4 linked regions of the Diceros bicornis minor genome follow. The protein of the gene in region 4 interacts with the protein of the main gene of each other region in a pairwise test. Links are inferred from orthologs where the notes say so. Each region holds a gene or a part of one and is shown on either strand. Other genes may lie near its edges.

Evidence for each region.
Region 1: the proteins of CCDC33 (region 4) and PTK6 interact in a two-hybrid assay, tested with the Homo sapiens proteins (2 studies listed by BioGRID and IntAct). The two-hybrid records come from large-scale screens. The link is inferred for Diceros bicornis minor from reciprocal best matches to the Homo sapiens genes CCDC33 and PTK6.
Region 2: the proteins of CCDC33 (region 4) and NCK2 interact in a two-hybrid assay, tested with the Homo sapiens proteins (2 studies listed by BioGRID). The two-hybrid records come from large-scale screens. The link is inferred for Diceros bicornis minor from reciprocal best matches to the Homo sapiens genes CCDC33 and NCK2.
Region 3: the proteins of CCDC33 (region 4) and GRN interact in binary tests that used the Homo sapiens proteins (3 or more experiments, as listed by UniProt). The two-hybrid records come from large-scale screens. The link is inferred for Diceros bicornis minor from reciprocal best matches to the Homo sapiens genes CCDC33 and GRN.

Annotation. Positions count from the first base shown.
Region 1 is NC_080758.1:663,177-671,195, reverse strand, and holds the start of PTK6 (protein-tyrosine kinase 6), read right to left. Parts: upstream 3,113-8,019; 5' UTR 3,086-3,112; coding exon 2,856-3,085; intron 1-2,855. Other genes in the region: tyrosine-protein kinase Srms, read right to left, coding at 6,454-6,647, 6,825-6,981, 7,075-7,256, 7,753-7,911. UniProt on the Homo sapiens protein: Non-receptor tyrosine-protein kinase implicated in the regulation of a variety of signaling pathways that control the differentiation and maintenance of normal epithelia, as well as tumor growth.
Region 2 is NC_080779.1:7,989,364-7,997,234, forward strand, and holds the start of NCK2 (cytoplasmic protein NCK2), read right to left. Parts: upstream 3,077-7,871; 5' UTR 2,895-3,076; intron 1-2,894. UniProt on the Homo sapiens protein: Adapter protein which associates with tyrosine-phosphorylated growth factor receptors or their cellular substrates. Maintains low levels of EIF2S1 phosphorylation by promoting its dephosphorylation by PP1.
Region 3 is NC_080757.1:42,918,711-42,926,650, reverse strand, and holds the start of GRN (progranulin), read right to left. Parts: upstream 3,206-7,940; 5' UTR 3,135-3,205; intron 1,478-3,134; 5' UTR 1,337-1,477; intron 487-1,336; 5' UTR 480-486; coding exon 342-479; intron 218-341; coding exon 92-217; intron 1-91. UniProt on the Homo sapiens protein: Secreted protein that acts as a key regulator of lysosomal function and as a growth factor involved in inflammation, wound healing and cell proliferation. Regulates protein trafficking to lysosomes, and also the activity of lysosomal enzymes.
Region 4 is NC_080744.1:67,225,590-67,232,994, reverse strand, and holds the start of CCDC33 (coiled-coil domain-containing protein 33), read right to left. Parts: upstream 3,228-7,405; coding exon 2,912-3,227; intron 2,063-2,911; coding exon 1,698-2,062; intron 1-1,697.

The sequences.
Region 1 (8,019 bases), on a different chromosome or scaffold from region 4:
CCTCCTCATGCTCCCGAGCAAGACCCACAGCTGCCCTCTGATAGTGTCCCCCACCCAGAGGCCCCTTCCTTGCCCATCATAGACCCCAAACGGCCAGTTATGGACACCAGGAAAGGCCCTCGTGACCAGGAAGAGGTGAAGCAGGCTCCCACCACCCTGCCCAGATGTCTCCCGTCCCAGACACGTGCCATCCCATCCTGTGGGACTACATCCTTCTGTGATTCTGGGACCACTTCCTGTGACCCGGGCCACAGACACTGGGCTCCAGCTCCAAGGACCTTGGGTTGGGCATCTAGGCAGAAAGGCAATGCACACATGCCCTTGCACTCACACACATGCACCCACATGTTCATACACATGCACCACACACACATGCACCCACACGTTCACACACATGCACCCCACACACATGCATGCACCCACACATTCACAATCATGCACCCACGTGTTCACACACATACACCCACATGTTCACACGCATGCACCCCACCCACACGTTCACACGCATGCACCCACGTTAACATGCATGCACCCACGTGTTCACACGCATGCACCACACACACACATGCACCCACACGTTCACATGCATGCATCCACACACACATGCACCCACACATTCACACACATGCACCCACGTGTTCACACGCATGCACCCACACGTTCACAATCATGCACCCACGTGTTCACACACATGCACCCACATGTTCACACGCATGCACACAGATGTTCCCACATGTTCACATGCATGCACCCACATGTTCACACGCATGCACCACACACACATGCAACTGCACGTTCACACACATGCACCCCACACACGCCTGTGCCCACATGTTCGCAAGCATGCACACACATGCACCCACGTGTTCACACACGCACCCACACGTTCACATGCATGCACCCACACACGCACACATGCACCCACACGTTCACACACATGTACCCACATGTTCACACACATACACTCACACGTTCACACGCGTGCACCCACACACACTCATGCACACACACGTTCACACATTCACACACGCATGCACCCACATGTTCACACACATGCACCCCACACACACTCATGCATCCACACATTCACACGCATGCACCCCACACAGACATGTGCACCCACATGTTCACATGCATGCATACACACACACAGGCACCCACACATTCACATGCATGCACCCACACGTTTGCAAGCATGCACACACACATGCACCCACGTGTTCACACACATGCACCCACACGTTCACATGCATGCACCCACACACACACGCCTGCACCCACACATTCACATGCATGCAGACACATGCACCCACGTGTTCACACGCATGTACCCCACACAATGCACTCACACATTCACATGCATGCACCCACGTTAACACGCATGCCCATATCCATGCACCCACATGTTCACACGCATGCACACACACATGTACCCACACGTTCGCACACACGCATGCACCCACATATTCACATGCATGCACCCACATGTTCACACGCATGCACCTCACACACGCATGCACCCACACATACACACATGCACCCCACACACGCATGCACCCACACATTCACACGCATGCACACACACACATGCATGCACCCACACACTCACACGTATTTGCACACACCAGCTCCCAGAACCAGGGCATGGATGAGCCCTTGACTCTGGACTGCAGGGTGGGGCCTTCAGAGCTCCGCACATAACCCCTGCTGCCGGCTGCTCTGCTGTTGGTACCTCGACTCCCTCAGGCACCTTTGGAACTTGGGCACCTGCACAGAAGGCTACTGCCCCGTGAGAGCACCTTGGGAGTCCACACTCTGCCCCTGACCGATCCAGCACTTGTCCAGTCTCTCCCATTTGCTCACCCCTCCAACCCCCCTGCCTCCTTCCTGCTTCTCAAATGCGCTGGGCTCTCAGGGCCTCAGGGGCCTTCACCAGCCGTGCCCACCCTGCAGTATCCCTGTCATGGGACCCCGCCTTCTGAAACTGTCCTCTTTATGACTGTGATTGTTTGCTGCTTATCTCCCTGCGGTGGGAGTAACCCACACATGCTCTCGTGCTCTCCCGGCACAGCCTGGTGCTCAGTCCACGTGGGTGCTGGTGAGCCACCACGATCACGGGAGTGCAGGCAGGAAACAGGAGTCCCTCCTGGACCCACCCCGCCCAGAGCTCGGAAGAACCACCTCAGGGCGCCGTGGACACGCCCTCACCAGGCTGCGCCTTGTGGTCTAAGCTTCCTAGGCAGCCCCTCAGAGCTGGCCACCGCCTCTGGGAGCCACCTTGCCAGTGACAGGGCAGCTGCGAGGGCACAGGGAGCAGATGCCTCAGCACACGCCCTGGACGAGCATGTCGCAACGACCTTCTGGAGCGCTCCCTCTGAGTCACACATCTGGTTTCAGTTGTTTGGAAGGTGAGTGAAGCTTCACTCCCCAAAAGGCCCAATGCTCCTGTGTCAGTCCCCCGCGCAGACCTCATCACTGTCGGCCAGCCACCCGGAAGCCCACTGCGGACCCTTCTGTCCTCTCTGGGTCCTGGCACCACGAAGTGACTGTGGGGAGCCCAGGGGAGGGGCCACATGCCCCCATCCCCAGATGACACTTGGTGAAAGCCCAGTTAGTGCTCCCAGGACCGGGACGGTGGGGTCCAGTCCTGACTGGGGAACACAGGGAGACAGAGCCACGGGTCGCCACCCTCACCGGCCTCCCAGGGGCCGGCCCAGCACGCTTGCCCCTCCCCCGAGACCACCTGGCACGGAGCTCTGTCCGACCGCCGCCCTGCCTGGAGCTCTCGCAGAGCCGCAGGGCCTAGGGATTGGGGGCACCTTGGAGTGACCCACAGGGCCCACAGGGACACTTACGGCTCAGACTCCACTGTCTCCTTCTCGGCCAGGTAGTTGTGGGGCACGTAGCCCTCGGCCAGGGCCAGGCCCGCCTCGTCCAGCAGCATGGCCCACCACCACTCTTCCTCCTTCCTGGCCACGTGGAAGAGGTCACCTGCCCTGAAGCTCAGCTCCTTGTCTGTCCGGGCCTCAAAGTCCCAGAGGCCTACGTACTCGGGGTTCAGGTGCACCTGGCCCTGGGACGCCATTGCCGGCGCAGCGGCAGGACCTGGCCACCTGGCCTCGCCACCTGTCACTCTGCTGGCTGCCGGCACGCTGGCTGGCAGGACGGGCAGGCGGTGCTAACCCTGACAGGCCATCTCCGCCCAGCTGAGGAGCTGGCCCACTTCCCTGTGATGAGGCTGCCAGGTCAGGCTGGCCACACCCGTGCCCACTGGGGACGGGCTCTCCCGGGCCTCCTCAGGCACCTGGGCTCCACCCTAAGGGCCCCGGCAGCCCCCACCTGTCCTCCTACCCACTGCGGCCAGCTCAGCCTGGGTACCACTCTTGCACATCTGCTATGGGAAACCTGTGCACCAACCAGCCACTAAGGCGCCCCAGGCTACATGGCCGGACCTGAGCCCAGGGGAAGGGAGGGCAGGGCAACTGGTCAGACAGATGGGCGCTCAGGTGTAAGTGGAACCCAAGGGGAGTGAGTCTTGGAGCTGAAGGGTGAGGGGAGGGGCGGAGGCCCAGGGGTGAGTCATTCCTTCCCACACCTCCCAGGGCTGCCAGGACTGATCCGGACAGACAGACGGACAGCAAGCTCCTAGCAGAGTCACTGCCAGAAGCCCCCCAGAGGGCTGCTTCTCTTCCCACCCCCGAAGGTTGTCCTGTGTCCTGGGCACCTCTCCCTCCCCCACGGAGCCCACCCAACAGCTCCATGGGAGCTGTCCTGTGCGCCGGGCTCCCGAGGACAGGAGGGCAGGGATCTGCAGAGAGGGGGTGTAGGGACTCGGCCCCCATGCCAGGAGGACCGTGAGGACAAGTGACCAGGGGAAAATCACATACTAAACCCTACGTGCTGGCACTTTCCCTTTGACTGAAGAGACAGCCGTGGCACCACTCACTCCCTCCAAGATTCCGGACCCAAACATGTGTCGTTCAACAAGTTCATAGACGATGGGCAGCCCAGCTCAGCTCTGCCCCACGTGGGGAAGGGGCAGCAGAGGGGGTGTGGGGAGAGATCAGAGGGGGCGAGAGGGACGGCTGGGCCCTATGTTGGGGCCCAGGGAGCTCCCAGGTGCCCCCAACCTGCCTCTCACTGCTCACCAACACGCTCCTGTCCCCTCAGCCCTTGGGCCAGCCCGGGACCCCATGTCTAGGGGGCCAAGGCATGTCGCGGGGCACAGACGTGCCCAGGTTCCGCCTGAATGGCACCAGGAAGCAGGAGAGTTTCAAGCCTGAAAGTCCCCGGCCCCTCCCAGGGGCCCCGAGCACTAAACCTGTTCAGCTTGTGGCTGATGAGACACCCCAGGAATGAGGCAGTGACCCCACACACACCCACCTCTCTGGCCGGTTGCCAAGCCCAGCACGTTCCCTCCCTGGAGGCGCCCGTCCAGCTCCCCTGGCTCGCACTGCAGCTCGGGAAGCAGAGGCATGCCCATCTGGTGGCTGAGCCCCTTGGTCCCACACTGCTGCTCGTGTGTTGAGGAAACACCCAGAACCCAAGAGCTCACCTCCAACCCTCACCTTCTCAGCCTACGAGCCAGAGCTGGCCCCTCAGGTCTCCCAGGACAGGATGGAGGGGGTCAAGGGCTGCAGGCCAAGGCAGAGCTTCGGCTAGGCTGCTGGGGTCAAAGGGCTCAGGTCAAACCCTCTTGCCCCCACCATCCGTCTGGGTCGGGACCAGCCCCAGCCTGATACCCAAGACTCCAAGGGGCCCCTGCCCTCTCCCCACTCGGCCCTGGGCCACAGCCAGGCTGGTCTGGGCCCTGACGTGACCTCATCCCTCTGTGCTGCCCCCACCTGCGGTGCCCCCACCGCCCTCCCCTCCAGGAAGTCCCTACTGTTCTCAGAGCATCTGAGTGGCCCCAGGGAGGGTCATTTATCTGCACTCAAGGGTCCCAGCTTCCTCCAGTGCCAGCCCATGGGCAGGGCCTGGGGTCAGCAGTGAAGGGCTAACTGGCCTCAGCGGGCCCAGAGCTGACCCTAAACCGTACACAGCGGCCGTTCCCTCCAGGGAACAGTGAGCTGAGGGCGGCCTTGCGTGGTCTGCCCCTTCAGTCCCCACAGGCCTTCTGGGGCACAGCTGCCAGCGTGGGGCTCCCAGGAGGGTGGGGGTCAGGGACCACAAACACAGACCGCATCTGCCCTGCCCCCCGCCCCTCTATTGTCCATCTGGTGGTGACGGGAGCCAGGCAGGCTGAGCAAGAACCAACAGCACACGTCCCACCCGGCTCCTCAGCCCGGCGGGAGCAGTCACACCCTGGAGACCCCAAAGGCCATGCATCGGGGCTGCTTCCTTTTCCCCAGAGAGCCAGCTATCACCCAGTAGCCCTCACCCAGCAGCATCCACCTCCACCCCGCCTGACCCTGCACAGCCAGGGCAACACCAGGACCAGCACCACGAGGCAGACTCTGCCTCTCTCACCTTTGCCCCATCCCCAGAGAACTGACCTCAAGGGTCACACACCCCCAAAAACGGTCACGCAGCCACCACTGACCTTCCCGTGGCCTGACCCAGTCCCCCACCTCTTCAATCCCATCCCGATCTCTCTGCTCCAGCCCCAGGGAGACGGAAAGGGCTGTTGACACCTGAGTCCTGCCCATGGCCCAGGGGTAGTGCTGCCTCTGGGTCAACCTGCTCTGGGTGCCAAGATGCCCTGGGGTGGGGGCCTGGGCCACGCGGGGGTTAGCTCTCCCTCTGCCAGGGTAAACCAACTGGGGGCCCACCCCACCAGCTCCAGCTCCTGTTCTGGTTCAGGGGGCTGAGGCCCATGTGTGAGCCATGTCTGCTTGCGTCTGAGTCAGTCAATACGTATTTATTAAGTGCTGCCTTCCCGTGTGCTCAGGTCTACACACGGGAAACGGTGTGCCCGTGGGAGGCAGTGGCCACGCCCCAGCGTACGCCCAGCATGTGCCATGTGGGGCCAGTTCCCACGGTCTGCCTGGGAGCCCTGGCACCACTGCTTCCACAAGGCCATGCGGGGACTTTGGGGAAAATTGGGAATTCCCACCCCTCGCTCTTGACCCTGGGAGGGGGTCGAGCAGGCCCAGGGCAGCAGGCCTGGGCAGGGGGACCGCAGCCCAGGCTCAAGGCTTCTCCCTGAGGCCGGAGCAAACTCGGGCTCCACTTGGCCTTCTGTGCTGAGTTCATCCTTCGCCAGGGACACTGGTCACTTAGGGCAGAGGGCGTCAGCCCCTCCCCTGTCTGAGTGGGTGTCTGCGTGTGTCTGCCTCCTGTGCACACAGGTGTGTGTGTCAGTGTGTGTGTCAGGGCGTGAGGCCCACAGCCAGAGGCTCTGCGGGCTGGTGATGGGCCGTCTGGCACCCTGTACGTGTTGATGGTAAACATCATCCCGGGGGGACGCCCTGGCGGGAAGGAGTGACCCCAGCCCAGCGTCCAGTGCCTGGGTCACGTGAGGGCAGGGTGGAGGCGCCTGTAGACGGCGCCCAGCTTCTCCTGCAGCACGGCGAAGGCCGGCCGCTCCTCGGGGCTGCCCCTCCAGCACTCCAGCATGAGCAGGTAGACCTCGGCGGGGCAGGCGGCCGGGCGCGGCAGGCGGTACCCTCGCATGATCTGCTGCAGCGTCTCGTGGTTGCTCATGCCTGAGGAGGGGGCCGAGGACAGGGGCTGCCTTGCTTCTGCCTGGGGGTCACCATGGAGACCTACCCCCAGCCCTTGGCCAGACCCTGCCAAGCTTTGAGGCCTCTTGCCCTCCCTTCCAGGGTCAGCGACCCCCGGGGGAGGGTGTGCCTCCTCCCTGGGGCTGCCTCGTGGCCCACCTTCGTAGGGACACTGGCCATAGGCAAAGACCTCATACAGCAGGACTCCGAAGGACCAGACGTCCGATTTCTGGGAAAAGACGCGGTAGTTGGCCGCCTCGGGCGCCGTCCACTTGACGGGGATCTTGGAGCCGCTGCTTGGGGAGTAGATGTCGTCCTGGGCAAGGGGAGACCAGGGTGGGGTAGACGGAGTGGCACCCTCCCCCCCCAGCCGCTCTGCCACCCTGCAGGGTCAGCAGCCAGCACCGACCTTGAGCAGCCGAGCCAGGCCAAAGTCGGCCACCTTGCAGGTCAGGTCATCGCCCACAAGCACGTTTCTGGCGGCCAGGTCCCGGTGCACGATGCGCCGCTCCTCCAGGTAGCTCATGCCCTCGGCCACCTGGCGGGCAAAGCTCAGCAGGAGGGGCGGGCTCAGGGCCTGGCCCTCAGGGCCTGCGGGGCGAGACCGACAGGGGCAAGTGTCTGCACCCATCACATCCTTCTCTGCCTCGGTTTCCTCCTCCCTAAGGTGGGGGAGCACAGCAGCACCCGCCAAGGCTGTGTGGGCTCAGTGCCAGCTGCTCCCTAACCCAGCCTAGCCCCCAGTGGAGACCAGGGACAGGGAACGGCCAAAGCGGAGAGGGGCACAGGCTGGGCTGGGTCCACACTGACCTTGTTCGGGGCTGGGGACCAGCCCTCCCCGCCTGCACTCTGCCCAGCCTGGAACCGCAAAGACCTGACTGTCCCTCCACAAGGCCCAGGCCTGACGCAGACCCAGGGCCCCGAACCTCCTGCTGGCCAGAGCCCACCACAGCCCTCTGGGCCTGGACAATCGAGCACCCAACAAAAATGCCTGGTGCACCGTCACAGGCCCATGCGGGGGAGGGGGCGGGTGTCATCGTCACCCATGGGCCCGGGGGTCGTGGCTGCGGCAGGGGTGGACACTCACTGCCCAGGAAGGCCTGCAGGTTGCCCTTGCGCATGAGCTCGGTGACGATGTACACGGGCTCGGAGGCGGAGCACACCGCGTGCAGCCGGATGAGACGCTCATGCCTCAGGCTCTTGAGCGTCTGGATCTCCTTGGCGAGGTCTTCGAGCTTCATGTCGGCTGCAGAAGAGGGCACGGCTCCAGGGCCCGCCCACTCCACCTGCCTGCCCACCGGCGCTGCCCCCAGGGCTTGAGGGGTCAGAGGGAGGGACCTGCAGGGGGGGCAGG
Region 2 (7,871 bases), on a different chromosome or scaffold from region 4:
GGCAGACTGTGACAAATGCCTGTGTATGTGCCGGGGGGAGGGTATAACTTGCTGATGTTGATTATACCTTCAGAAATATACATACTTTGGGATCCATTCAAAGTGAAATGCAGGAAAAGAAAAAAATAGTCTAATTTTTTAAACTGTGTTACTAAATGGCCTAAAGAAATAAAAAACTATTTTTACTTTAGCTGCATACTTTTGATAACCCATTAAAAGGCTGTCTTGACCTTCTTCTAAGCTGCTTTTCAAGCATTTAACAACATACATGATATGATTTTTAGCTTAGGCCCTTTGAAATGCCATGAAAGGTTTCAATCATTCATCCTAAGAAAGAGAAACAATTTGGAAGCACCACTTGCAATCCCTCTAGATGGGAAAACTAATTTCCTAAGCCTCTTGGATGAGTTGTGGGGAGTTTCCAGTTCATTTGTGAAAAAAGTTAGCTTACTAGTTTTCCCAAACATCATCCACCGCCCTGCCCTGCAGTTCCAGCAAGCAATCTTCAGCTCTTCAGTCAATCAGCCTCATCTTTAATGCTGGAGGACCGTGTCCACGAGCCCCCTCTCCCCCAGTGCACACTGAAGCATGTGTGTCCCAGAGAGCAACACAGCCTCATGGCCAGGGCAAATGAAGCTAACGCAAGTGATCAAGTAAAGGACTCCAGGTCACTCCGGGCAATCAGGGAGTCTTTAGGGTATTTCGAAAGGTTATCCAGTTTGTGCACATACAAGGAAGATTTCCGGTGTATTTAATATGGATGATAGCGCGTTTCCAAACACTGTGTACTTAAGACCTACTGTTTCTTGGAAAACTTCAATAATCCCCCAATGCAAATGACAGAAGCTGGGAATATGACAGGGTCAAACAGATCAGGGATGAAGAGAATTTAAGTATATAGCATGTAATAAAGCAAAACACAAAGCCTGGAAAACTGAGTACAGCTACTTGAAATGCATCTTAAACAAGCCCCGCCCATTTTAAAAGGGCCAGTTTCTCCACAAGTGGGCAGAGGGGGTGAGGGAGCAGTCAATTCTCCAGTGGCAATTTGTGACTCAATGTCATCCTGCGTTCCAGGATCAATCCTGTTAGTGTTTATGTAGCAGCTGAGAAGCTCGCGGCCCAGGTGAGGCCTCCAGGAGAGGAAGCTGAGTTGGGCTGGGCACCTCCACAAGCTTACCACTGCTTACAGCTCTCAATTTCAGCCTCAAGGAGCTGCAGCCAGAAGATCGCTAAGATCCAGCCACTTTGTTCAATCAAAAGTACATCTAACCAACCTCCAGGAGAGAAACACTAAGAGAGGATTTTCCCTGGTGGTCACTTCTTCACAAGCATGATTAACACTGGTTTCTCAGGAAAGCCCTGTTCCAAATACCTAAAAACCTTCATCTACAGCCCACTCTCCCGGTGAAGCCCACTTCTCCAGCTGCCCACTGACCACCATTCTCTCTATATAAACGCCACACATGCTCTAGTCCTGTTACTAATATACCCGTTTATCTACCAACACTGGGTAAGTGAACTAAGGGAGTGTTCAGTAGCAAAGTTTAGATGTTTTGATAAATTAAAGCAGCCCAGGTTAATTTCATTTTCAGTCACTTTAACACTTGAAAAGCACTGTTGCTAAGGATATCAAATGCAGTGGTATGAAACACACCCCAAATTACTCTCATTCCTACCAAAATCCCTTCCTTCCGAAAAGCCGGACTGGGCCTAGACCAGGAAGGAGCTCCCACACCTGTGGGTCCGCGGGAAGCCATGCCCACGGGCCTCTCGGGGTTCAGTCTTTTTGGGGGGAGTCAATCGAAGGAGTAGGCATGCGCGATGTTTTAGGCTCCCCAGGCCCAGCCCTTGGGCCTACTCATCCCATTATGCAGACGCAAACTTTGCAGATTCAGCCCTAAACCTGTCGGCAAAATAAACAAAGCCACATAAAGGAGAAATTGCCAACCTGAATTGTCCGAAGTGACAGAGGCCGACTACACACACGTTCCTGCTTTGTCCCTGAAGCTGTTACAGGGCCAAAGTCAGGTGCCTGGTGTTCGTCAGCCAATGACCCCCAGCATCCCGCGTGGACCTTCCAAGGCGATCGTTACTGTTTACAAATGAAAGCGCTTTGCAAATTAAACCCCTCCACACGATGCCCCGATAACTGCGCTCACAAGGGAGTTACCGTCAATACCTTAAAAGTCACACACCAAATTCTTCCAGAACCACTTGGTAGTTAAATCACTCTGAATAAACCAAGAGGGCAGAGCGATTGTGAGAAACTTTCTTTCGGGTGGCTGTAAGAGAGTCCTGTAAATCTGGGACAGGACGCAGAGCCTGAAACCCGGCACAAAGCGCCCTTCGCCGAGGCGAGGACCTCCTTTATGCGATGTGACAGCAGCTTTGTGCGGGGTCATAAACAGTCCAATAAACACAGTAAGTTCTCCGGGCTGCGCTCGGCCTCCCGCGTCCCTGCGCTGGGGCCGGGCGATCCCCGGCCATTCCTCCCGGGGACTCTCGCCCAGGCGACCTCGGCCACCGCACGGCCCCACGCCGGCCCCCGGCTCCGCGCCCGCGGCCGGCCCGCAGGCCGGGCGCTCCCCGCGCGCCCCGGGGTCTCTGGTCCCGGAACCCCGCGCCCAGGCCGCTGCCTTGGCGGCGCCAGCGCCGACCCCGGAGGGTGGGGGCTGGGAGGGCGGCGGGAAGGTGCGGAGCCGGGAGGCGCGGGCAGTCCGCCGCCACGGGGGCCAGGCCGCGGCGGGGCCGAGGGCACCAGGGGGGCGCGAGGGACCCGCTCCCGCAGCCTCCTCCCGGGCGCGCCCCGCCCCGCGAGCCCCGCCGCGCTCCAACTCTGCCGAGCGGCCCAAGTTGGCGGCCCCCGCCCCGGGCCGGCCGGCCGCGCTTACCTCGCCGAGGGCCGCCCGCCGAGGCCGGAGGGCAGCGGCGCGGGTCCCGGGGCGGCGGCCGCACCGCGCCCGCCCAGGCGCCGCTCTTTGTTTGCGCCGCTCCCTCCTCCCGCCGCGTGGCGGACGCTGCCGGCCGGGCGGACCCCGCCGGCCCGGGCGCCCGAGCCTCCCCGCCGCCGAGTCCTCCCCGCCGCCCGCCGCCCGCTCGGCCGCGCGGCTCCGGCCTGACGATCTCCGCGGCGGCGGCGGCGACCCCTCCCCCGGCGCGCAGCGCCCGCCCCTCCGCGCTCTTCCTCCTCCTCCCGCCGCTCCTCCCCGGCCGCCGTGACACCGCCCAGGGGCCGGCCCAGGCCCGTGCGCCGGCGGGGGCCCGAGACCCCCCGGGGGGCGTGCAGGCAGCTCCCGGGCCCGCGCGGCGGCCGGGCTCGGGAACGGCGCCCGGAGGGGACCGGGCTCCGCATGCCCTGCCTGGGGGGCGCGCGGCCGCCCGGCCCCGGGGAGACCCGGGCGCCAGGGGGAGGAACGGGTCTCCGCTCCCAAAACTGCTCGCACGGGGAGTAGGCGTCGGGGAGGGGTGAGGGGACAAGAGACGAAATAAAGACAGCAACTTCCACCCTGAAAGGACTGGTGGGTGATCTGTCCATCCTCTTTTTGTTTGATTTTCTTATCACGGCGCTCTAGTTGTTTGGCGACCGCCCCCCTCCCGGAAGCATTCCCACGGCACTCTGAGCAAAGCAGGCCTGTTGTCCATCAGAAAAGTGACTTACATAAAAATGTCACTTCCTCTCTGTAATTGCTTGTGAGCATTTTTATTTATTTGCCTTGTATCTATTTACTTTCCCAACCAGACACTCTTACTCCATCTTTCCTGTTGGAAGCACTTCTTAAGACGAGAGGAACCCAACCTCAGCTGCCTCCCCTGCGTCGTGTCCAGCTCAGGCTCACCCACAGGGGCACAGTCCTGTAAGGAGCTGCGGGAACGTGGCCCCAGAAGGAGTGGTCACTAGTAGTGGGACTGGTCTGGTCACCTCGCCACACGTGGTGGCTTACCTGTGAACAAACTTGGAAGATTAAAACCCAATTGTAAGGGGAAAGACACAGTTTCCTTTTCACAGGCCCATGCATCCAGATGTCTCTTCTCCAACTTCCTTCCCATATGGCCTTCCGGAAAGGGAAGCCTGCTATCCAAATGATTCTGATTTCCTGGCGGAATAGCCTGGATCCATGTTAATGAGATTCTTTCTTAGGCTCCCGGCTTCTCATTATTATTAAGGCAATAACAGTTTATCCAAGGTGACAAGGCCGTGTCGTTTGAATGGCTCACCCCTGCCTTGTTCCCGAAAGGAAGTATTGAAGGAGGGTAACTAGAGCCAGTATAATTTTGAAGTCATAGTTGAGGGTGTGGACTATCTGCTTCTTCAACTGTGGAACCTTGCACGGGTGTTTCTTAACCTCTCTAAAATCTAGCCAATGGAGAGAGAGTATTTACCTCACTCTGCTGTAAGTCCCTGGCACACTAGCTGGAAGGTCACTAGCTGGAAGGAGGTGCAGGGCACTGAGCAGGGATGGGTCAAAAAACAGGGAATCAGAACAGCCTCCTTCTCTTTGACTTGGGAAAGAAGCTACCTCAGTTCATCCTTTCGTGAAGATTTTGTCTTACTAATAAGAAAAGCAGAATTATAGTAAATGGTCTGGTCCAATTTTAAATTACTTTACTCAAAATAAGTATAACAACATTGACCTGATTTTTAACTTGTCTGCTTTGTAAACTTTCATTGAATCATGGTTCTGGAACCCCTCTTCCGTCTCTGATTCTTTGTAAGGTCACCAAGGACGTTCTCTATCTGAAACCCAATGTCCGTTTCTCAACCTTTATCTTAATAACGTTTCTGCTGTTTCCTGAAATGTGGTCATCTTTTCATTTATCTAACAGCTACCTTTCTGACCTGCCCATGGCTGTTCCTTGTAGGCCATGTTGTTCTCCCAGCATCTAACAGTAATATCCCAAAGACTTTGGCCCTTTGTTTTTATCCTGATGTGCACCTTTTTTTTTTTTTAAGAGAGTTGATCATTTTTTGTATGCTTCCAGTCTGGATATTCAGTGATTAACTCCCAGATCTGTAGCCTTAGGGAGCTCCCCAGCTTATCTGCCATCCCTCTGAGCAGCTCAGCCTCTCTTCAATACCACCAGATTCAGAATGAAACTTGCCTGCTTCCTAAACCAGCTCCTCCTCCCACGGTCTTAGGCTTGGCCAAGAGTCTACCAGGCATCTCAGCTCTGAAAGAAAAAATCATTGCAATTTGATTTCTTCCCTTCCTCTCTCCAAGCTTTCCCCAAAGACAGGAGAGGACCCTAGGTGACCTTGGGATCCCTCTTATGATCTCATACATCCTCATGATTCTGAGTCCTGGTGATTCTGAAACATCTCTTGATGGTACCTTCATTTCCATTTCCAATGTCACCATCCAAATTTTACCTTATTACTAATAATACTTGTGTACCTTTTTTGAATTCTTTACATATATCATCTGTAACTCACACATGATGGTATTATCCTCATTTTACAGATAAAAAAACTAAACTAGTAAGTGAAAGAGCTGGGTGAGAACTGCACACACTCACCTCCAAAACTCCCATTCTTTCCACTGCACCCGTTGCCTTCCAAGTGGCCTCCCGTTACTCACTTCCTCCCACCCCCAGATTCATACTGAACATCAGTGTCTTCCTAACTCTCAGAAAAATTGCTTCTATCTTGCCCCTCCCCTCTTCAAGAACTTCCCATGGCTCCCCACGGCTCACCACAGTTCCTCAAAAGTCCTCTGACAGCAAAGGACTTGAGCCTTTGCTCCTAGGAGGGCTGAAGAATTGAGCTCTAAGATGCCTATGTTCGCTTCCTGGGGCGGCCTTAATAAATTACTTCAAACTGGGTGGCTTGAAACAGAGAAGTTTACTCTCTCAGAGCTCTGGAGGCGAGTCTGAAATCACGTTGTCAGCAGGACCATGCTCTCTCAGAAGGCTCTAGAGGAGAATCCTTTGCCTCTTCCAGCTTCTGGTGGCTCCAGGTGTCCCTTGGCTTGTGGAAACATTACTCCAATCTCTGCCTCTGTCTTCACACGCCAGATCCCCTGTGTTCCTCTCCCCTTCTCTCTCATAGGGGCATTTATCATTGGATTTAGAGCCCACCCTAACCCAGGATGATCTCATCTTGAGATCCTTACCTTATAACTTCCACAAAGACCTTTTTTCTAAATTCGGTGACATTCACAGGTTCCAGGTGAACATGTCCTTTGGGGCTACCGTTCAACCCACTACAAGACCCAGCATGGGCGAGACATTTCCTTGAAGCTGATGGTTTATCTAAAAATGTAGAGGTTTCTGCATTCTACTCCATTAGTATATCTATGTTTGTTTTACTATTGAAATTTCTTCAGTAATGAAGTATTGAAAGTGCAAAACGTATAAACTTTTGCCCCCAAATCACATCGGCATTAAATCCTAAGATTTCCCTTCTAAAGTCCCTGGAACTTAGTCCTGCCCTAACAATCTTGTTGTTTACCCTGCCCTAATATAAGCTACTTGCTTCAGTCCCTCTGCTTTCCCCACTGTGTCCCACTTAGTCACACTAATCTCCACCTCCTATACTGGGGACACAGCAAGGGATTTCTCATCCCCCTCCTCTTCAGAGTTCCATGCAAGCCTTCCTCTAACCCTCTCCTTGGAGTCACAGAGAACACAAGCTAAGGTTGAGGGCGCTGTCTGAGTCCAGCTTCAGAGGCCCACAGCCTGCCTGCAAGCCTGTGACTTGGGATCATCTAACCTCTCCGGGCCTCGGGTAGTAATAGTGCTCTCATAAAGAGTTGTGAAAGTTAAATGAGATCATGTAAACATCTCTCAACTATGGGTTTGGCACATGGTAAATACTCACATCAGCTTTTCCATGACCTTCTATCTTAACCGTCAGTACAGTTAAACATTTCTAGTATATTTCTATTTGTAATGCATTATAAGAGTCAATTCAGAAGAAACAAGGGTAAGTGGAGTTTTTAATCTCACAGGAAGGGCAAGACCAGTATGCAAATACCATAATATAAAGCTAAATATGCAAAGTACCAAGTGAAATATGTTCTGAGAATCAGAAGAGGCTGTAGGTTTTATGAAAGCTGGAGGCATTAGGAATGGACCTGGAGAGATGACACCTGGAAAGCTACTATAATTTGGCTGCCCTACATCCAGCCCCCTTACTGGTTTTAGGAAGGCCCCTGTCTGACCTTGGTGGGAGGCAGAGTAGGCTCCTCCCTCTCTCCACTCCCAGAAGCCCTGTGAGAGTGAACAGCCTGGGACTGGCCAATAGAACCCTCCCACCCGGGACTTTGAACCTGGAGAGGGTGGCCAAAAGGAGGGAGGATGAGATTCAGTGAGCTTTTGCTGGAAGAATCCCAGAACTTCCCCATAGAGGTCATTAACCTGCTTGGTTCTCGCCCCTTCTCCTAGCTCCTCTAGCCCCGCTGTGAGCTACTTATTATTCTTTGAAAAATTCCTATTCTGCTTAAGGTAGCCAGAGGCCCTTTCTTGCAACCAAAACCTCTGAATGATGCAAACTATAGGATTTTGAAAGTTGAAGACAGAGAGGAAATTCCCAGTACAGGATGCTTAGAACCGTGACGACAGAGAGGGGGAATGTGGGAGAACTCCATAGGAACAGGGAATGCCCTCATTTGCCTGAATGCAGCAGAGGATGCCTGCAGAGGATCCTGAGGAGATAAGACCTGGAGATAGTAGTTACGTGTGGACATCATCCGGGCTTGGCGGCAGGGTACCTCATTTGGCGCATGTCCCACAAACGCCTGGAGGTAGGAAGCACAGTTAGAAGTCTGCATTACTTAGAGTTTGGATGTGGGTTGCTGCAAAGATGTTGGTGCCGATATCAGAAAAGTTGGGTAAACTGGTTTGTGAGGGATAAACAGTTCTATCTTTTT
Region 3 (7,940 bases), on a different chromosome or scaffold from region 4:
TCAGCTAGGCCCTTTTACTTGGCAGTAGGATAGCACAGGAAAAGTGTAAATGCAAATCTGGGCCCCTCCACTGAGCTAATGGCACCCTCACCTCTGGGAACGGGCAGCAGCTGGAGGTCCCCAAGATGGTGAGGAGGCAGGAGTAGCCAGGAGAGCAATGGGCATCTATCCGGCAGGGTCTGCCCAGGCGCCTGCTCAGTGCTGTGGGCCATTTGTCCTGGGAAGTGAGAGGAGAGGATAAACTGAAGGACCCAAGCCTGTCCCCCTCCTCTGGCCAATCCAAGATGCCCCTTTGGGAAATCCCATGATACAAGCTCTGGCGTGGGCTGAAGGGCACTCACCAGAACAGGATTGCAACAGCTGTAGCTGGCTCCTCCTGGGTCCAGGCAGCAGGCCACAGGGCAGAGCTGACCATCTGGGCACTGTGTTCCAGCCACCAGCCCTGCCACTAAGGCCACCCAGCTCACCAGCGTCCACATGGTCTGCCTGCAAAGTAACAAGAGGCCTTTGGAAACCAGCTTAAGCCCATGCCACCCTTGACTCTGGGGCCAGTCACTCCCCAGCCCCAGGCCCAGGGCTACTTGAGCCTCCCCAGCAACTCCTTGTCCAGGCAGCAAGAAAGTGTGGGGCCTGAGACTCAGCTTCCTACATATGTCCTGTGTGTGTGTCACACGTGCACCAGCGCAGGTACACCCATGAGCATGAATGCTGACGAGTACACGTGTGAATCTCTGTCCCCACCATGTGGCTTAACACCTGAGTCTCTGTGGGTGAGTGTGTAGAGATGTGGGCACGTGATAGGAAGATTTATGAGTTTTGTGGGTCTGATCTGTGGGGATGTGGGCCACCTGTGGGGGGTGGGGAAGGCATCAGTAGCCATAGGAGGACAGGGCTAGGGTGCAAGGAGGGAGTCCCCCACCCCGGAAGAAAAGCCAGGATTCCACTTCCGCAGCCAGCCCCTTCAGATGCCTCCTCAATCAATACTGTGCTCACACCTGCACCCTGCTAAGGCCTGCTGGCGGGGGAGGGGAGGTCACATGATGACATGGGAAACCATAGGGTTGAGAAAGTTGTGAAAAGGGAAGTGCAGTGGCCAGTGGAGTCTCAGCTGCCTTCCCCAGAGGCCAGCCACAGCCCACCCACTGACTGTCCCCTCCCCACCCAGGGAAGGGGACACAGAGGCTGGGTCAGCCTTTGAGACACCTGTGTTCTAAGGACCCCCAACACCACCAGGCCCTTTCAGACTCCCCAAAGATACCACCCTCTTACCCCTGCGTCTCCCCCTACCCTGGAGCCGAAACTCAGCCACAGGTAGAGACAGACCACATGTGCCCACCTGACTGCAGATCCCAGTCAGAAGGAACCGAGCCTCAGTCTCTCCGGGGGGGGGGAGCAGCCTCTCACTTCCTACAACTCTTGCCCCAAGTGCCACCACCCTGCTGGTTGAATAGGGCAGGTCCAGGGGATGTCACGCTGCCTAGAGGGGCAAAACCAAATATGTTTATTGAACCCCTTGGGAGCCAGTTACAACACTCTATTTTCTTTATTCTTTGCAACAACCATCCAAAGTAGTAATTATTACCTTTACTTTTCAAAGGAGGAAACTGAGGCTCAGAGATGTTAAGTAACATGCTCATGTCACATATCAAGTCATGGAGATGACAAGCTTTGATGGCTCCAGAGCATATTGGACCTGGGTTCACCTCACAAGTGGCATGATGGACAGTGCCCGGGAATGGACCCCAAACCCCAGGAGGGAAGAGGCCTGGGGTCCAAGCAGAGGAAGGTGACAGAGGCATTTCCTGGGCAGGTGGACCAGGCAGGACAGACATGGGGAGTGCAGGGGCTGCCTGGATACTGCACTTGGGTCCTCGTCCTAGAATTGCCACCACTGACCGAGAGCGCCTCAAAAGTTGCTCCCTATCTCCGGGCCTCAGTTCCCCACCGAGTCTGTGTGTGGACACAGCACACAGTGTGTGGCAGGGAATCGCACTGGCCCAGGCCCTCACATCCCCTCTCCCTCGCCTGGCTTTCCTCAGGGTCCCCTCCCCAGCTCAAAGACCATCACCAGGAAGCCATCTCGCGGCCAGGTAAGGATGAAGAAGAACAGTCCTGGGCCACAGCCCCATTCACCCTCTCCTCTATGCCCACAGCTCACAGGCAAGGCATACACAGCCGGCCCACCCACTTCTTGGGAGTCCAACCTCGACCCTCCACAGGCTGTCTCACTGCCCTGGCTTAGGCAAGAAGCGATGCGTGTCTGCACAGACCTCGGACTATTCGGCACCCTAGTGATTTATGTATGTATATTTTCCTTCCTGGGTATCCTGAGGTTAGGGAGTATAGTGTATGCATCTACTGAATACGCATGCCCGCACATGCACACACAGGACCAGGGATGGAGGAGGAGAGGCCTAATTCCTCTCAACAGGGTTCTGAGTGGAGGCCTCTCTCACCCCCACCCCACCTTGCCCCAGTAGAGAGCGACGACAGGAGCCTCTTCAAGCCCCCACCTCCGTCATCTTCCACTAGGTGGCACCCCCCAACTCCGATTGCCAGGAGGAGAGAGATTCCCAAAAAGTGAGCCAACCCAACTGCGAGTGAGCAGGGAAAAGTGGCAGGGAGAGGCGGAAGTCAGCTTGTCCCACCCCCCACGAGAGGAAGTAAGGGAGAGCCAGACACAACCCAGGGGTTCAGTCACCACTCCCAAGCCCCTGCTACCTTTGAGGAGGCCAGGGTCTCAAGTCCCACTCCCAGCCCTCTGAGCTCCGGGACCAGGGGTGGGCGTCTCTCTCGCTCCCAGCTGCCGCGGGGACTACCCACCACCACCAGCACCTGCCCACGGGGGAGGAACCGGCTCAAGAATGGAGTGGTCCCTGCTTTGAGGAAGCGGCTGCAGCTTCCGGGGATGCTGGAGGGGAGAGAGCTCCCTTCTAGTGGGGGTCACTGCAATTACTGCTTACTACCACCCCCCATAAAACTCCCTCCAGTGCATCGCAAATCCCCCAAACTCTCTAAGCGACTCTTCCCTTATCTCCTGGCTGAAACTCCGGAGGAACCTTAAGCTTCCATGTCTCCCTGGGCGGGCCCCTGGGAAGGAGCAAGCGAGAGGTGGGCGCCGCCGCCCGCCCTACCTGCGTCAGGGTCGGCGCTCCCTGGATAGCAGGAGCCCGGGAGCTCACGGACTTGGGCCTCGCAGCGCAATGGCCCTCCCACCTCAGTTGCCATTGGCCAGCCGGCCCGGGGTGTCGCGCTACCATTGGCTACGCGCCTGCTTAGAGGCGGGGCTAGGCTGGAAGGCGGTGCTTCTTTCCTACTCAATTCGCTGTCCTCCCTCCCTTCGTTTCTCTCTCGTCACTCCCTGTTTCCAGGGATCATGTGATTGGAGAAGCATGTGATGCCCTAGCCTGCTCCGCCGGGATGGGGGTGCCCGCCTCCCCGCCTTCTGTGGGCGCCTGGTAGAGTTTGCCCGAGATGGAGTAGCGTCTGTCTGGGGACATTGACAGCCAAGGGAGCTGCCCCTTAGAGAGTGCGTTCAAGGGCGTTTACAGGATGTCCGCTTCTGGATTTGGGACATTTGCGCATCCTGTTTCTGTTCTCTTCAACAAACTCAGATTAAATGCTGGCCGGCCAGGCCCCAAAGAGGATGGAAGGAGAGTTGTGAGGGCAAGGATGAACAGCCCTCAGGCACTTTCCTCGAGGTGCTCGCAGCAGGGTGTGGGTGGGTGGAGAATGGAAGACAGGCTCAGATTAAATCTAATTTAAGGTACAAGGGCGTGTGCCAAGTGCTATGGATGTGTATGGGAAGAGGTAGTAGGTTGGCTCTAGGCGGGGAAGAAGAGATTTCGTTCCACCTTGGGGGCACCTTATTGAGCTGAGTCTGGGAGGATTTTAACTGGCAGGTGGGGAGAGGTTGGAGAAGTGGCTGGACAGGGGGTGATGGGAGGAGCGTTAGGAAACCAGATGGGAAGGGCAGCCTTGGGCAGGGATTGAATGCCAAGTTCAGTGTAGTGGACTTGAGGAGCTGCTGTGTGTCTGGCTCAAGGCTGGGCTGGGGTGGGTGCATAGTGGAAGTGGCTTCCTAGTTTCAGTCGGCCCTGCCTTCCAGGAATTGACAGGTCGGGTGAGGAGAGAAAATGTACCACACAGAACAGATTAGCCAGCAACAGGAGGCAGACTGCTCAGTGCCAGAGGGCCTGGCCCAGGCCGAGATGAGTGATAGGAGATGCACGGGGAGAGAGGAGAGGCCCAGAGAAAGCCTGGTGCCTGGGAAGGAAGGGGAGTGTTGGTTATGCAGAGTAGATGGAGAGCGCTGAGAGTGAGGCTGGGGTAGGGAACAAATAGCCACGCTCAGGGGTGGTGGGAGTCTGGGTAGGGAAGCAGTGGCAGGGCTGAGGAATTGAGTGGAAGCAGTGCTCAGCCTGGGGCCAGAGAAGGTCCAGAGAGTGGATAAGGCTCCTGCCGAGAATCAGGACTATTCTGCAGGCTAGTAATATTTGTGCATGTTTTCTTTCCTCTGTATCCCGAGGCAAGAAGGTACAGCTTATGCTTCTATTGACGAAGCTCATATGCACGCGCGCGCGCGCGCGCGCGCGCGCGCACACACACTTTTCATGAAATGTTAGGCAGATCAATAAATGTACCTATTAATCAGAACTACACAGAACAAGAAAAAAAATACACACAGAAAAAGAAAAAAACTAGAGTGACTGAAACAAGTATCACAAAATCCTTAAAGAGGTGATTTGCCCACCAGGGACATTTGGCAGTGTATGGAGATGTTCCAGGTTGTCACTACTGGGGGGAGGTGCATCTAGTGGACAGAGGCCAGGGATGCTGCTAAACTTCCTATAGTGCACAGGACAGCCCCCACAACAAAGATTATTCTGCCCAAAATGTCAGTAGTGCTGAGGTTGAGAAACCCTCTCTAAAGGATCAGAAACTTTCTCCATGAAAGAACTCAAAGTTTTCCTCCCACAGAGCCTCTTTTCTCTTATTTCATATATTTTAAATAAACGTTGTCATCTGATTTCCCAGTAAAAGTAGATTATAGAAAGATCAGGGGATGTATGGGTGGAAGTTTCTAGAAGCAATCACTTTGAGTTTAGCAAGGATTGAAAGCATTTAATAGGAAAAATTGTAAAAAGCAGACTGAAGAACTTAGAAACCCAACATCCCGGGGACACTGAGTATAGGGGGAAACAGTTTTGGAAGACTCAATGGGCCTTACCAGCATTACTCTTAAAGGACAGTAGTTAATAGTCAAAGTATGAACCTGAGCATTCAGAAGAACTTGAATCATATGCAGTTACTCTGATCACTATGGCAAGGAAATGTGGAATATAGTTACTAAACAGCTTCTCACACTAGATACAGGGAACCTCCACTTCAGTGGAGAGGGTACAGTTCCCACGAGGACTGCAGAACATCTCCCACATTCCTCAAGAAATGTTCCAGCGTCCTTAAACCCTCCAATTCAGGAATCTCTCTCCCTCTGCTTTTTGCTTTTAAGGAGGGAGTATCATTTTGTGAATAGGAAAGACTGAAAAGAAACAAACTTCCAGAGTCACAAAGAGATTTGACATCAAAGTGTCTATCCTCATTTGCCCCGTTCCCTAAGCCCTCCCAGCCCCCTTGGCCAGGCCTTGTGATTTTTAATTTTGATATAATCAATTGACTGTAAATGTGAGGGTTTATTTCTGGACTCTTAGTTCTATTCCATTGATCTATTTGTCTGCCCTTATGCCAGTACCACACTGTCTTGATTACTATAGCTGCTTGGCAAGTTTTGAAATTGACAGAAGTGGGAGTCCTCCAACTTCTTTTTCAAGATCATTTTGGCTATTCTGTGCCTCTCAAATTTCTATGCAAATTTTAGGATGAGTTTCTGCAAAGACAGCTGAGGTTTTGATAGGGAATGCACTGAATCTGTAGATCAATTTGGGGTGTATTGCCATCTTAACAATATTAAGTCTTCCTATCCATGAACATGGGATGTCTTTTAATTTATTTATCAGTTTCTTTTTGACAGTTGCCAAGTGTTCCATGCTATAGATGTTATGTAGTTTACTTAACCAGTCTCATTTTTTTTCTTCTCCCCAGTGCCCCAGTACATGGTTGTATATCCTAGTTATAAGTCCTTCTAGTTCTTCTTTGTGAGCCGCTGCCACAGCCTGGCAACTAACAGGCAGGTGGTGTGGTTTCGAGACTGGGAAATGAACCCGGGCCTCCAAGGCAGAGAGCGCAGAACTTTAACCACTACACCATTGGGGCTGGCCATAACCCGTCTCATTTAATGGACTTTTATGTGTTTCCAATTTTTTGCACTGCAAAAACAATTATACAATGAATATTTGTGAACATGTCTTTGAGTGTACATGTGGGAGTTAAATTTGTAAAAGTAACACTGCTGGGTAAAGGGTATGCACATTTGAAATGTTAATGCCCCTCATCTAGCTCAACCCCCTTTCTATGCAATGAGGAAACTGGTGCTCAGTGAGGACCTCCTCTCCAGTCTTGAAAATTTTTCCAGTTTACATTCCCAGTCACACTATTTGGGAAACTTATTTCCCATATACTCACCAACATTGGATACGCCAGTTAAAAAATTTTTTTTGCTTATCTAATGACAGAAGATATTTCCTGGTTGTTTTATCTGCATTCCCTTGACCTCTAGGGAAGTTGAGCATTTTTGCCTATGCTTATTCTGCATATGTATTTCTTCTGTGAATTGCCTGTTCTTATCTGTGTTAGTCAGGGTTCTCCAGAGAAACAGAACCAATTGATGTGTATATAGAAAGAGATTTATTGAAAAGAATTGAGTCACGTGACAATGGAAGCCAGCAAGTTCAAAATCTGCAATGTGAGCCAGCAGGCCGGAGGCGCAGGAGAGTCTGATCGTGCAGATGAAGTCTAAAAGCAGTTGCTGGAGAATTTCCTCTTGCTTGGAGAGGCCAGTCTTTTTGTTCTATTCAGGCCTTCAACTGATTGAATGAGGCCCACCCACATTATGGAGGGCAATTTGCTTTAGCCAAAATTCACTGATTTAAATGTTAATCTCATCAAAAAACACCCTCCAAGTTGACACGTAAATCTAACCATCACATTATCCTTTGTTCACTTTTCTACAGTGTTTTTCTTTTTCTTGTTGGACTATGAGATCTCTTTATATATTCTGGATATTACATATGGTGCAGATATTTCTTTCCAATCTGTCATTTGTCTTTTATCTTTATTTATGGTATCTTTTGCGGTCAGAAGCTGTGTTGTTATGTTATCGGAAATCTAGCAATCAATTTTTTCCTTTGTGGCTTCTGCATTTTTTTTCCCTCCTTGCTTAAGAAGTTATAAATATGTTTTTCCTTGTTCATTTCTATTCCTGCTGCAGCCCCAGCTGAACTGGACCTCAGATACCAGGCTTGTGCTGGATTGAGGCACCGTAATTGACAGGAGGTCCCACTCAGGAGCCTGGCACGGAGAGACCCCTGGATATGTCCCTCTGGCTAAGAGGTTCCTCCAGTCAGCCCCAGGGCTGCTTTCAGAGGTGATGGTCTGGATAAAGGGGTTGGGCAGCTCCCTTCTCTATCCTGTCTTCCACTTTTCTCAGCCTCTCCCTGTTTCTTCCAATCACCCCTCAGTGTTTTCTTCATTCAGAGTTACTGTTCTGTCCACATAGAAGAGTCACAGCTACCCCAGGACAGAGGCTATCTCCCCCCAGGATCTTGCATTGCCAGGTAAAACACAGGATGCCTGGTTAAATTTGAATTTCAGGGGCTGGCCCGGTGGCGTAGCAGTTAAGTTTGCGTGCTCCACTGCGGCGGCCCGGAATTTGTGGGTTCGGATCTGAGGAGCGTACTGACGCACCACTTGTCAAGCTATGCTGCGGTAGCCTCCCATATAGAGTAGAGGAAGATGGGCATGGGTGTGAGCCCAGGGCCAAT
Region 4 (7,405 bases):
TTCAGAGCTGCAGCCTGCAAAGAACTGTCCACGTGGCCCCTGGCTCAGGGTGGCCAGGGCATGCTCGGACCTGGAGAGCGGGGGGCCACTTCTCCCTGAGCTCTGAGCCTCTTGAGTATCTAGTCCCGGGACAAACCGTAGGACAGGGGCCAGGGCCCAGCCCCCGAAGTCAGGCAGCTTGCAGTCTGAGGGAACAGAATGTCACGGAGGAACCCAGGTATCATCCTTCTCACTCACAAGTCAACCACTGTATCCTCAGCACTGAGCAGAGCTGGGCATGCAGTAGGTGGTGAAAAGTATTTGTTGATTGACTGACTAATGAATGAATGGGCAAGAGAAGCTGGTCCCTGGGTCCCTGGTCCGTCCTTCCAGTTCTCCTGGCACATGCTACCAGATCACTCTGTCTGAACCACAGCTCAGATCATGTCTTTCTCCTGCACAAACCCCTCTGGTGGTCCCCCATCGCCTCTCAAACTGAATATCCACCTAGCTCTTTTGCCACTGTCCCCTGACTCTCTATACTTTCCCCCACCCATCAGCCCTCTCCCAGCCCAACTCCCCCACCAGCCCGGGCTCCACTTCAGCCCCAGACCAACGTTCTGCTGGAGGCAGGCACTGCAGAAGAGCCAGGCACCTTCTGCTGTAAACCTTTGGTTTCAACCTCAGATCATTCTGCTGCCAGCCTTCCCCTCAGTCAGCTTATTCTTATCCCTCCTCCTGGAATATCCTCCTTAAAGCCCAGAATTGCCATCCCTAAATCTCACCCACCTAGCATGGGGTCTGACAGAGTCAGCACCTAACAAATGTTTGATGGATGGATGAGTGAATGAACTAACGAATGAAAGATTCATCTCAGATGACATCTCTTCTGAAAAGCCTTTGCTAGGCTGTAAGATCGGATCCACACACTCCCTCACTAGAGCTCTCCTTCTAGCACATGCCTTACAGGACCATATGGTGCCCACGTTGTGCCTGACTGTCTTCACGTCAGGCGGCACCTTGAGCCCAGGGACTACATAGCTTTGGATTCCATACACTACTGTGCACTAAGGTCCCCAGGAAATGTTGTTGGCATTAAATGGAATCAAGCATCCTTGGGGATGATCTTCAGTTTCTCCACCTGTGAAATGGGCTACTACTTGCTCTACTAGCTTCCGCCTGTACTGGCTGTGAGGCCCACCAGACACACTGCCTGGCTGCAGAACATGGCCACACTGGGGAACCCTCCTACAGCTTGGACAAGGATTAGACTCCTGCGCCTGGGCCTGAGGCTGCCAGGGTCCTGGGTCAGCGTTGAGTCCCTCCTGGCTGTGGTGGGAGCTGAAGGGGCTGGAGGGTGGGCACTTCTATCTCACCATCACTTGGGGCCTCCCTCGAAACCTGGTGAGAACGTGTGAGATTGAGTTTGGGGCTGAAGAGTCTCAGGGGACACTCATCCACTGGGCAAAAGAAACCCTACCCAGTGGCGTCCCTGCTCTGTGTGGTCTCTGCTCCATTTTCTTCTCTCCCTTCAAACCGGGACTCCTTGTCTCCATCCTCAGACTGCACTTTCTCAGGAACTGACTGAGGCAACCTAGGGAAGTTCCGCTGCTCTGCTCAGTGAGGGCCTGGGGACAGCCAGTCTTATCAGAGACGCTGGGTCTTCTACTAGCGGGAGCAGTGATGCCAGAACCTGGGCGGGAACCCAGGTCACCCACCTGCAGCCTGGCCAGCTGGGGCTCTGGGCGTGGTGAAACAGGTTCTGGCTGGCCCGGGCCCGGAGAGCAGTTGGAGGAGGGAGGCTGAGGGGCCCGGTGCACGTGGAAGGCCACGCTGTAGGCCAGGCCCCCGCAGTGGCGGGCCGTGGGGTCCGCGCTGGCCTGGAGCAGAGCCAGCCTGCCGCAGTAGCGGTACAGGTCCTTGTGCTCCCGCGCCGACAGGTTCATGCGGGGCTGGTCTGGGCGAGGATAGATGGGGAAGATGGCCTCGCCCACGCGCTGGGCTGCACTTCCTGAGGCCCCGCACAGCCTCAGTGCCTCCACCCTCAGCTGCGCGTCGTGCTGCTCATCGTTCTTGCAGAACCCTGGTGAGGAAACACGGGGTCAGAGAGTCTATGGGGTCTCCTTGCCTCCCCTGGGGGATAGGGAGGACAGCCAGGGCCCTCGGGAAACCTGGGCTGCCTGGCCTTTGCTTTGAAGTCAGGCTTGGCTAAGATTTCCCCGGTGGGTGACCCCCTCTCAGGCCCCACACACGGCTGGCTCCCTTTACTGAAGGGGGAGAGGGGGGCTCTTAGCCTGTGAGATGGTTCTGGGGAAGAGTTCAACCTGTCCCTGATCTCTGGTCACCGGAAGGCCTGGGACTTGGTTTCCCCATTCCCTCATATCCCTCCTCTTCCAGGAAGCCTGCCTGGATGGCCTCATAGTCTAGGCGTGGATCTTCTGCTCCTTCCAGATCACTTAACTATTCTGTTTGGGATTCCTGCCTCTCCACCTGATCTGGAAACTTCCTGAAGGCAGGGCCCGAGTCTCCACCTCTCTGTCCACCCTCCATACTCACAGTCCAGTGGTTCTCAGGGCTGGGCACTCAGGGTGCTGGCTCTAATGTTACTCAGTGTGACGTCCAGTGGGACTGGCCCCACCTGCTGTGTGCTTAGCTTTTGTAAATTCACAAAGCCATTCGTCATCTGTCCTTTCACTTCCTCCTCACCCAACCCTGTGACCAGCATCAGCGTCCCCATGTCACACTGACGGAGGAAGGGGCTCACAGAAGGCCAGCGTTTTCCCAAGATCACACAGGCAGAGCTTTGGGATTCAGTCTAGAGCTCTGATGCTGCCCCTCCCGGTGTCCCTGAGGCTCCCTGGGGTCCCTGACAGGGCTGGGGCAGGAGTTGGAGGGTCCTTCTCTCCCCTCAAACCCTACCCTTGCTTCATACCTTTGGGCAAAGTAAAGATAAACTTGTTCCTGGTGAGGGTGAGGCTCTGGCCAGGGTCCTGCTGCTCAATGACATCGGTGACAGCAGAGCAGGTGGGGAGGGGGTCCCCATCATTTACCTGCAGCTGCACACCAGCCCCAGAGCTGGCCTGCAGGGGGTTCTCAGCTGACAGCCGCAGGGCGTATCTGCCCTCCTCATTAAACCCCACACTCAAGACCTCGAACTCCAGGTCCAGTGTCTTCTCCTCGGTCTTCAGCCTCTGGCTCAGCAGGGATGCAGGGACCCAGGGTTCAGGCCCCCTGAAGGCCATGGCCATATCGGGGACTGACCCCCCCTGGGCTGAGCACTGCCCCTTCCTGCCCACAGTCTCAGCCTGGGCCCAGTCTGAAAGCCCACACGCTGGGTGCTCAGGGCCACACCCCACCCTTCTCTGTTTGTTTGGGGAGAAACCAGGTAACAAGCCAGGAAGCTGATTCTGTCCTGGGTAACAAAGGCAGCCATTGATCTGTCCCTTTTAGCATTTGTTCATTCAACAAATATTTATTGAGCATCTACTATGTGCCAGGCACTATTTTAGGCATTTGGAATGCAGCAGTGAATCAAAGATTTCCTGCACTTCTGAAGCTTATCTTCTAGTGGGGGAGGTAGGTGGGAACAGATGAAAATAAGCACTAAATATAGAAAATAAGTAAATTGTAATATATGCTAGAAGATGATAAGTTCTATGGAAAAAATTAGAGCAGGGTCAGGGATGAGGAGAACTGGTGTGAGGAGCACATGGGTATGGGGTAATCAGGACGTCCAATTTTCGGGAGAGCCTGTCTCCACATGCCTGTTCATTCCCAAGAGTTCTTGAGTTGGATGGGGATGGGATCTCAAGGGGAGAGGGACAGTGTATGTTCCTTGGGAGCATGCCCTTAGCACCTGCTTCTGGAACCAGTGTACCTTCTTATTTAAAACTCACAATATGGGGCACAGCTTCACTTTACAGAGAGCCCAGAGCTTCTCATACCAAAGAGTTGTCAAGCTGGAACCCATCCTTCCTGATCCTGGGTCTTGCTGATACCCAGTTGGGGAGGGGAGATTCTAGACACTCCTTAGTAAGAACCATCTCTACCATCATCACTATTACCACCACTATTACCATCTCTACTATCACCATCATCACCACTACCACCACTATCACCACGATCACCATCACTACCATGAGCACCACCTTCACTATCACCAACACCATTACTACCACCACCACCACCACCACCACCATCACCACCACCATCACCATCACCACCACCACCATCACCATCACCATTACTACCACCATCACCATCAGTCACCACCACCACCACCACCACCACCATCACCATCACCATTACTACCACCACCACTACCACTACCACCATCACCATCACTACCGCTATCACCACCATCACCATCATCACCACCATCACCTCCATCATCATCACCTCTATCATCATTCTCATCATTATCCAGTATCATCATCAGCATCATTTATGATACTCATCACTGAGCAGCTATTGAGTGCCAGGCACTCTGCATGGCTCTGTGAGGTAAACATAATTATCCCCATTATACAGGTGAAGAATCTCAGGCTGAGAGAATCTCAGATCACGTGGCTAGCAAGAAGCAGAGCTGAGATTTGAACCTAGATATTCTAAGTCCATCTATACTTTCCCCTACTAAACATGTCCTGGGACTGGCTCAGAGATTGAAATTCATACTATTAGGGGCTTCTGTACCCTAAGACTGTAGAAGTACAGTTCTGAGTCTGAAGAGTACATTTATGGACAGCATAGATTTCATTCAAAAGAGTTCACTTGAAGTCACCTTGAGTAGAATGCGTCATTTTCATAAAGTAAGAAATAACCAGTCTAAAGATGGTATTGGCCAGCCCAGCTAAGCGCCCCAATGTATATGGGAGTCTTCCTCTGCAATGATGGCGATTCAGTGTCTTCAGGTCCCCCAAGGAGAAAATGAGGCAAACAGGCTTTAAAAGACCAGAGTTCTAGTCACCTGACTTGCAGATCCCTTTCCCTCTCTGGGTGTCAGTGGCCCCATCTGCACGATGGGTGGAAGTCGAGTGGCTAAGTCTTCCCACAGCACCGGCAGTCTGAAATTCTCTAAGTCATATCGGGAAAGGCCACAGTCTGGCCATTTGGGGAAGAGGTTCCAGAGGCTCCCTGGAAACCTTTGTCTCAACAGCTAGGCCTGGCCCACCAGCCTAGGTCCTGAGGCCATGGTTTGCCTCTGCTAGGTCTAAGGTCTTGGAGATTCAGTGATTCAGTAAAAGTGGCCCTCTCCCCTTGCATGTGTGAAATCACCCCCAGAGATGTTACAAGATGGAAGGCAGTCTCTCTGTCCTAGGGCCAACCTCTGTGCACTGCACCCAGCCCCCACCCCTGCAAGCCGGTCCCATGTACACAACCCTTCTTCCCAGTCTGTTTATCTGAGCTTGGAAGATAACACCTCCCTCTTCCCCCCTTGCTCCCTTCTTTCCCTCCCTCCACATTTCTACAGAGGATCTGAGGTGATTGTGTTGGTCTTAGCATGTTTTGAGGGCCCTCCACAGCTGATGCCCCCACGCTTCCCATTGCTAGCCTCCCCTCCCCCACTCAGTCTCTGGGAAAGGCTCATTTTTTTGGTGGGTGTGTATGGTTACTTTCTTAAAAATTGTGGTAAAATATACATAACATAAAATTTACCAGCTTAGCCATTTTTAGGTGTGCAGTTCAATAGTGATAAGTATATTTACATTGCTGTGCAACCAGGCTCCAGAACTCTTTTCATCTTGTAAAACTGAAACTCTACGCCCATTGAACAACTCCCCATTTCCCCTCCCCCAGCCCTGGCAACCACCCTTCTATTTTCTGCCTCTATGAACCTGACTACTCTAGGCACCTCATATGGGTGGAATCACAAAGCATTTGTCCTTTTGTGACTGGCTTATTTCACTCAGCATAATGTCCTAGGGAAGGCTCACTTTTGCCCCAGGCCAGGCCTGCCCTGTCTCCCCTCCCTGCCTTTGCTGGTGCTGCTTCCTCTGCCCAAACTGCCCAGCCCCACCTGATGTCCTCCAGACGGGCTAAAAGGCTCCTCCTCTGGCGCCAGAGTAGTATCTCCCTCCTCTGCCACACTCTGTACCTCCCTCTCCAGTCTCAAATGATGACTTGCCCACACTCGACTGAACATCCCTTCAGGGATCATGTCTGTGTGCCCAGGACAGAGCTGGGCAAGGGGTTGGTGCCTGGAGGACTGTTAAAGCATTATAGAATGAATGAATGAATGAATGAATGGAAGGATAAATGAATTGATGGACAAACCAAACCCAGCTTCTGCTTGTGCAGAAAAGAATAAGAACTGGTTCTTTTGGCTATTTTATCTGGATTCCATCTGTGAGAAGTGATGACCATACCTGGACTCAGATGCATCTTGGTGCCTAGGTGGGCAGGCAGGTCCCCAGGAGGGAGGGCAGCAGCATGGGGGTAAGTGGCAGGGCAGGAGGCAGTAGTTCCTAATGCTCAGGCTTCTCCAGGTCTAATCTCAGTTCCACGGAGAAAGTCTGAAAACCTCAGTGAATTTTAGCAGGTCAGGGCTGGATAGCACTCCCATTTTATAGGTGGAGAAACTGAGCCCAGGATAGCAGAGCAGGACCAGATCCTTACTGCCTTCCCAGGATTCCCTCCACTCCCAGCTGCCTCCCTGATTCAGCCTCCTGCAGTTTTCAGAAGGTTTAAACTCCAGGCAGAGGCCTGGCTCCCACAGAAGGAGTCAAGAAGGGGCAGGGTGTGGGGTGAGGAGAGGAGACGACAGTGCTGACTGTAAGTGGACTTCTGCAGTCCCAGCATGAAAGGCCTTAATGGGGCCCTCAGTCTTCTTTCTTCCCCAGAAGAATGGCCACTCAGAGTCCGCTGGCTTTGTCTGGAAGAGCCTGGGGTTTTAATTAGCCCACCCCAGAGGGCCCCCTTCCTGTTTCCCACAGTGGCTCCTTTCAGCCTCCCCTGCTGACACTCCCCAGGGCTCCTGTGGGCCCTCAGACCCCCAACCTCAAGGACTCACCTCCAACTTGCCCCACCCCACCCCACTCCTGGCCTCTGCTCAGAGCTGAATCCTCCTACAGGGACATCTGTGAGTTCACTGGATGCTCCCAAGGGCCTGGGAGCTGGGACTATTATCCCCTCCTGCAGATGGGGAAACAGAGGGGCAGAGAGATCTGGTGGGTGAGTGAAGGGGTGGACCTGGACCTCAGGTCTCCTGATTCCCAGGCCAGTGTGATCATGTGATCATCACCGCTCCGCACCGGGACTTCCACGTCCAGGCCCCCTCCAGCAACCTCCTCCCCACAGTGGAACCATCCCAGGCGCACCCCCTCTCCCTTCAAGCCCACAGCGCCAGAAGCTTACGGGGTGATAGAATCACAGACTCAGACTGGCGAAGTGCAGCCCAGCGGCCAGCGTCTCTCCATTGCACAGACGG